2 linked regions of the Rattus norvegicus genome follow. The protein of the gene in region 1 purifies or fractionates together with the protein of each later gene. This does not show direct contact. Links are inferred from orthologs where the notes say so. Each region holds a gene or a part of one and is shown on either strand. Other genes may lie near its edges.

Evidence for each region.
Region 2: the proteins of Cdk5rap2 (region 1) and Pcnt purify together in Homo sapiens (co-immunoprecipitation; 4 studies listed by BioGRID and IntAct, with this or other methods). This does not show direct contact. The link is inferred for Rattus norvegicus from reciprocal best matches to the Homo sapiens genes CDK5RAP2 and PCNT.

The regions. Positions count from the first base shown.
Region 1 is NC_086023.1:88,846,805-88,850,617, forward strand, and holds part of Cdk5rap2 (CDK5 regulatory subunit-associated protein 2), read right to left. Parts: intron 3,286-3,813; coding exon 2,712-3,285; intron 923-2,711; coding exon 690-922; intron 1-689. UniProt on the Homo sapiens protein: Potential regulator of CDK5 activity via its interaction with CDK5R1. Negative regulator of centriole disengagement (licensing) which maintains centriole engagement and cohesion. Involved in regulation of mitotic spindle orientation.
Region 2 is NC_086038.1:12,198,748-12,202,560, forward strand, and holds part of Pcnt (pericentrin), read left to right. Parts: intron 1-23; coding exon 24-101; intron 102-687; coding exon 688-943; intron 944-3,216; coding exon 3,217-3,272; intron 3,273-3,462; coding exon 3,463-3,637; intron 3,638-3,813. UniProt on the Homo sapiens protein: Integral component of the filamentous matrix of the centrosome involved in the initial establishment of organized microtubule arrays in both mitosis and meiosis. Plays a role, together with DISC1, in the microtubule network formation.

The sequences.
Region 1 (3,813 bases):
CTATAAATCATGATGTAGTTCTCAGCTATTGTCTGTATTCTGCCATCTTCCCCACCATGATGACAATGGACTAAACCTCTGAAACTGTAAGCAAACTCCAAATACATGTTTTTTGTTTTCCATATGAGCTGCCTTGGTCATGGTGTCTCTTCATAGCAATAGGACAGTGACTATGACACTGAGTTATTGTCCAATTTTAAGGGCACTGTGATGCTTCAACCAAATAATGTCTACAACATCAAGAACACAAATAGATCTAGAGGGAACAGACTTATGCTAAGAGATCAGTTGTAAAACCCCAGCATGACCATTCATTCCCAACATGATCACAGATAAGGTACTTTCTCTCACAGACCACATTCTTCCACACCATAAAACTGGATCTACTCACTCACTTTCTCCCTATGAGAACAGAGAAAAAGGGAGCAGGAGAATGGGACAGTGATGTCAATGAGTGACAGGACTACTGCTGTCTTACAAATGTCCTGTCCAGTTCTTACCCAATGGGTGGCTGGGAAAAGCAAGGAGAAACAAGAGAAGCAAAGTGCAAAGACTATGAGAAAGAAGGCTGTTTGGGCTTAATGGCAGAACAGCCAGGTCAGTATGTACAGCAAAGGCAAGGAGTCAAATCTCCTGGTGTCCACTGAAGAAGTCACAGAGAGTCACACTGAGTGCCTCTACCTACTTACCATGGAGAAACAGCTTCTCCAGTTGCTCTAGCAGTCCAGCACACTGTGTTAGCTGCTCGCGGAAGCCCTCAGCCACACAACTGTCCACATCACTGGCCTGCAGAAGTTCCTCAAATGCCTTGATCATGGTGCTCATGTGTTGATGGCAAACGACACAGATATCATGACTATCCTTAATTTGCTGCCGCTGAAGAGAGAGCTCCCTTGCTTGGGACTGAACCAATGAATCGTATCTGATAAAAGAGGGAAGGAAAATGTGTGTGTCATTTTAGAATTGAATTTTTGTGACCTTAACACTAATTGGAAAAATGACAGAGCATAATTTCTGGAAGCCCGCAGCTGTACAAGCATATATACTTTAGAAAAATTGAAACTGTACAAGGTCACTCCTTCTTTGAGTTCAAACAGCCAACAAATGCTTAAACAGAGATTCTGCTGCAATATTTGTAACCGTAGAAAGCCCCCAATTAAAGCATAGATTGGCAAGGACTCAGGAGAACAATTAGTTTCCATACACTCTTCAAAGACACTATTCTGAGTTGTAGAAACAATTGCCACAAGGGTCAGGGACCCACTGAAAATTCTCACCAAGTACAAATATGTATATACCAAGGGTAAAAAAATAGGGCTGCTTGCCTCCAACTGAGAGAGTCGGACTCCCGGCTACCACCTTACTGACTGACTAGGTCCCATCATGGGAACAAGTTATCTTAGGTCATCTGGTTCTCCCAGGCTTCTAACAAATGGATTCATTAAAAAAAAAAAAAAAAAAGGAAAAGGAAAAGGAAATATTTCTCAAAGGTATTTAGAGGTAAAGCTTTGCTTCTTAAACACACAGCTTGTGAAGATTTATTATACAATACTGCCCCCTCACCACCAGGTGCCACTCTTCTCTATGCAGTCCCAGGAGTTGTTAAGAGCAAATCAAGGAGGAAAAGCAAACAGCAAGCTGGATCTAGAGTGGCCTGACAGGCACTTCTGTTCACCATGACCACTGTTAATACCAATAACCTACAAGCAAATCACATGACAGCCATCTTAGGTAGGGAACAGTATGGGCTTGAACCCTGGCAGTGGCTCTGACCATGGGCAAGTCACAGAAATCTTTTGAGTCTCAGTTTCTCTGTCTAACAAAAACAAGTTGAGAATGCTCCTGCTCAGTGTGTCTGGAGTTAAATAGTCAGTTCCTTCCCAGTGGGGTGGTTCATGCTTGCAATCCCAGCACTTAGGAGGCAGAGGCAGAAAGATTATGAATTTGAGGGCAGCTTGAACTACGTGGTGAAACTCCATCTCAAAACAAAATGAAACAAACACTTCCGAGCCTGGGGGCTGATACAACAGCCCATCAATAAATAACTTTCCCTCAGTCTTGCTGCTTGGGTAGCCTTGAAAAAAAAATCATTCTAGCTCTTGACAATTCAGAACAGTGCTTTTCTCAAATTAGTAACGAATGAAGGTCAAATTTACAGACTATCCCATTTTTTTGCCGTATCTCATGAAGCCAATGTACATATTTATAACCATAAAGCATTATCTTCATGACCCAAGAATTTCTTGCTTTCAACACAGGCTTATTTCTCTAAAATGACCTTAAAGGGTAAAGATATGGAAAGCATTTATATTCCTCCTAACCTGCTTAGGACATCCATTTTATTTCCACAACATGGCAAAAGCCAATAATAGAGTTCAAAAATAAACACGGCAGGCAGCTCAGTAAACACACTGCAATCCCTGACTGATTGCCGTGGAGTTCTATGCTGAGTCCTCAGCCCAAGCAGGGCAACATCTGTCCTGCCCATCTCAGAAGCTGGCCAGCCCCTAATGCGCATATGGACAGAGTAATGCTGTGCAGCCTAGCCTTTCACTCTGATCCCGGCTGCCTGAAGCCCGGCGAGTTGTCCCCAGGGTACACTATCCACCCATGGAGCACCATTCCTTCAGCAGCTTCTGGGCTTCTACCTAGCAACAACCTAGGAAACCTACAAGCCTAATGAGGCGGGCTGAAGCAGGAATAGGATGTACCTTGATGGCGAGAGGTCTCGGAACTTGTTCTGCAGGTTATGGATTTCACCGAAAAGTTCCAAGTTCAAATCCTGCTCCTTCTGTAGCTCCTGCTCCTGTTCTACCAGCTGCTGCTTGAGGCTCTCTAGCATCTTGCCATCAATTATTTCTGGGGTTAGTGGACGGAGGATTTTCATGTGCTTCACATATCTTACTTGGTGCAAACTTGAAAATGTCATCTCTTCTTCATCGATGTGGCCCTTAGGCTTGTTCAGGCCATCTTGGGCCCCTTCTGTCCCACACAAAACTGTAATAATAGCCTCACTGCACTGAGAATGCTTCTGTAGCTGGACAATGATGTTCCGGTAGCCTTCCAGCTCAGTTTGCAAGTCATGGATTTTCTGTTTTAAGGCTTCTGTATCATCAGGGAGATTGATATTCTCAGACTGGTCAGTTCCAACCACACTGACTTTAACAGAGAGCTGACTCTTGGAATCCAGGTAAGTGGCTATGGAGGGTGGGCCTAAGAAGTCTTCAAGGTTCTCTTTGCATGCTGGTAATAAGGCAAGGTCATCAGGTGGGCAGATTTCAGAATCTGAAAATCAAATACTAATCTTTGTCAGTGACTCCTTTGATGCAATCAACTTTTTAACTCTAGAGTTTCCCACAGTTGAATTCTGAATCTTAAATGTCCCCAAAGTCTGTATATTAAAAGCCTGGTTTATAGAACTACTGGAAAATTGGGCTGTGTTTAGGAGGTGGGGCCTTGTAGAAGAAAATCATCACTAAAGAGGACCTTAAGACCCTATCACCAAAACCCTGGTTCCTAAATGGTTCATAGACACTATAAGGTGAACAGCTATACTTTATCACATGCCCCCACCATGATATTATCCGTCACCAAAGGCTCAGAGTGACAAGTCCAGGCAGTCATGGATTGGACCTATGAACCAAAATACTTTGTTCTTTCAAGTTAATAGCCTTAGAAATGTTATCATGTTCTAGAAAGCTGACTAGCATACTATTTTACCACTCAATCCATCCTCTTTCTCATGTTGGAAGCAACACTGCTACATACATCATCCAGTGTGTGTCCCCCCCAAAGTCACCAGACCCTTCTGCC
Region 2 (3,813 bases), on another chromosome or scaffold:
TACATCCTTTGCTTTCCTTCTAGGAACAACAAGACTGTGAACTGGGTGTGACTGACCTGCAGGGACAGCAGCAGCCACAGCAGCAGCCACAGCCACCCCAGGTGATGGGCACAGCGCTCAGCTTCACAGGGTCTTAACCTGTGCTCTGCCAGTGTTACCAGGGCACAGTGAGTCCCGGTTGCTGGTGGGCAGGTGGGAGAGACTTAGTCTAAAGTAGACAGGTGGGGGCGGTGGCTTGCCATCTCCTCTTTTGTCTTGTTATTTCCGCCTTCTCTCTGTAAGTCCATTCCCCCAGACAAATGGAGGGTCCCGTGTGGACACCTGCGGTTTGGAGTCTGCCATGGCTATGATGTGTGTTTGCTGTTGGTCACATGCTAGCATAGAGCTGGGGCGGCACCCTCTTGCTGTCCATCACACAGCAGCATAGACTGGGGCGGCACCCTCTTGCTGTCAATCACACAGCAGCGTAGAGCTGGGGCGGCACCCTCTGGCTGTCCATCACACAGCAGCATAGAGTGGGGCGGCACCCTCTTGCTCTCAATCACATGCCAGCATAGAGACAGGGCAGCGCCCTCAAGTTAGTTGCTCCTTTCCCTCCCATGTTCTTTTGCAATCTCTGCTTGGCGTTCCCCTGGCCATCTGGGTTTCTGACCTGGGTCTCATGAGGCCTGGCTCCTCTGCCCGCAGACAGCCCATAGCCTTGAACTAGAAGCTCTACGCTTGAGCCTGAACAACATGCATACAGCACAGCTGGAGCTGACGCAGGCCAACCTGCAGAAGGAGAAAGAGACCGCGCTGACGGAGCTGCGGGAAATGCTCAATGGCCGGCGGGCACAGGAGCTGGCGCTGCTGCAGAGCAGGCAGCAGTGTGAGCTGGAGCTGATGCGAGAGCAGCACGCCCGAGAGAAGGAAGAGATGGCGCTCCGCAACGAGCAGGAGACAGGTACTGCGCATGTGTACCGCTTGTCTTTTTCTGGTTATAGCGGAGTCCTCTTTCCAGACCTCTCACCCCTTCTCACACATCCATATTCTCATTCATTCTCTCTCTCTCTCTCTCTCTCTCTCTCTCTCTCTCTCTCTCTCTCTCTCTCTCTCTCTCTCACACACACACACACACACACACACACACACACACACACACACACACGCTTGAAGCAGCCTGCTGATTTTCCAAATCACTTTTACTTAAGTACACGTTACACGTTCCTGTTTCTTTTTTTTTTTTTTTTTTGGTTCTTTTTTTCGGAGCTGGGGACCGAACCCAGGGCCTTGCGCTTCCTAGGTAAGCGCTCTACCACTGAGCTAAATCCCCAACCCCTGTTTCTTTTTTTCTTAAAAGAATTGTTTATTTTATACATATGACTACACTTCCACAGTCCTCAGACACACCAGAAGAGGGCATCAGATCCCATTACAGATGGGTGTGAGCCACCATGTGGTTGCTGGGAATTGAACTCAGGACCTCTGAAGAGCAGTCACTGCTGTTAACTGCTGAGCCATCTCTCTAGCCCATGTTCCTGGTTTTTGTTTTGTTTTTTGTTTTTCTGTTCCTCCGAGGGAGATAAGCCATTCAGTGGGTCTTCTGTGAGGGAGGGAAGCCGTCCAGTGGGTTCTCTCTGTCGGCCAGTCCTTGATTGCGTTCCAGCTAGGCCCCCTGCAAACACAGGCAAACTCGACTGGGCATGCTTGGGTTGGCTATTCATCTTAGATATGGTCGTATTGCAGGTCTGTGTGCTGGGTCAGATACACTCTGTCTGCTGCCACCTGCCCATAGAGCAGCCCGGGGTGCCCTTCTCTTTAGTTGGTTATTTAGTTAGTGGTAGTTTGTGTGTATAGATGTTTGGCCTGCACCTATGTCTGTGGTCCACATGTATGTCTAGTGCCTGTGGCGGTCAGAAGAGGACATTGTTCCTCTAGCATTGCAGTTACAGATGGTTCCGAGCTACTGTGTGGTCCTGGGATATGTACCCAGGTCATATAGAAGTTCTTGAGCCATTTAACTGTTGTGAGCTATCTCTTTAGCCCCACGTCTTTTTTAAATATAACTAAGTATCAGCTTTATTGAGAAATAACTCCCTTGTCACACAGACTCTGTGTAAAGGAGCACACTTCGGTAGCCATTGCTGTATCTACGTAGGTTCCGTAGGTGTCTCCATAGCTAAGGGTGAGGAAGTCCATTACCTGGAGAGAGGGCTTACTTTTCTACTTGCCTTTCCAGCATCCCTGCGACAAACATTTTTCTTTCTAGCTGAGTAGCGTGGCTGTGCCGGGGAGAACCTTCTCCCTTGCCTGGCTCTCCTCAGTGGGAAAGACCAGTTTTCTTTTCCCAAGCTTTCCACGTGTCTTTTGGCACTTTGAAACAAAATACATACGTGTTTTTGTTTCATTCTCTTTTCCAATAGAAGCTCTCTCTTTTTAGCCTTTTCCACTTTCCATCCCAGTTGCCGAGGCCGTCGTCCTTGGGGTCCCTTGGTTAGGCCTGCAGCCCTAGGGAAGGAAGGCAAAGGGCTCCCTGGTACCCTGGGAAGTAGTACTTTACCCAGCAATGATGGACTCCAGACTTCAGTCAGCTTTAGACTTGTCTGCTGCTGCCTTGTACTGCCCCCTGCCCCCTGCCTCCTACTCCCTGCCCCCTGCCTCCTACCCCCTGCCCCCTGCCTCCTACCCCCTACCCCCCTGCCCCCTGCCCCCTGCCCCCTGCCCCCTGCCCCCTGCCCCCTGCCCCCTGCCCCCTGCCCTGTTTGTCTTCTTCAGGCCTACCCTCTGTGCACCTTTCCATCCGGGGACGTCTTCCTGGACTCTATCTTCTTGCGCTTCTCTCTGCTTGAGTTGGGAGCTCTTGGGTGGTAGGACAGTTCCTCATGTCTTACTCTCCAGTAGCTTACCTTGGCCCTGGAGTGGGCACATGAACTACAGTGCCCCGCAGTTCTCTTGTCTGAAGGTTCACACGGGTTTGGAGGGGCTGGGGATGGGACCCCAGCAGCTGATCTTCAGCTGTACTCTTAGGAGAACCTGAGAGCCTGGGAACCTCAGCGTTCTTTCTTTTGATGTGAGTAAGTCTTATACTTAAACGAACCATCACCTGGATGTCTTGTCATCCTGTGTGCAATGGAGTGGACAGTGGGAGCTTGAGCCCCATTATCTCCTGGGTAAGGAGATTGTGGAGAAAGTTGAGATCCTGTGGTCTGAACAACTTGTGAACATTTTGTCTTGCAGCTGAGCTTAAGGAAAAGTTCCGTTCAGAAATGGAGAAGACCGTTCAGATGATGGAGGTGTGTGATTGGTTGGGACTATAGTTCTGTGCGTATTCCGTTTTACCTTCACATTCCACTGACCTCCCCCATCATAAGGCAGAAAAGTCAGTCAAGGGAGCTGGAATGTGCTGGTAGGAGGTCAATTCTTTGTTGACCTCGTTCCTCAGAGATTGGGTTGTGCCACAACCTGCTTTTTCTATTAAATTAGACCCTGAAGCAGGATTGGGAATCTGAAAGAGAGTTATGTTTGGAAACTCTCCGCAAAGAGTTGTCTGCAAAGCATCAGTCGGAAATGGAGGGTTTGCAAAACCAGTTTCAGAAAGAGCTCTCGGAACAGAAGGCTGAATTGGAGAAGATTTTTCAAGCCAAACATGAGGCTGAAGGTGAGGCCCTGCTTCAGAGTGAGCGTAATGGGGGGTGTCGGTGAGGGGCTGAGTGCCTGCTAGGGAGAGCACTGTCTGCAGTGGACTTGCCTTTTCCCGTCTTTGTTTCCAGTGCGAGCTGCTGGGGACACACATACAAGGGCACGGGTGTTTCATAGGGCCCTCTAACATCTTCA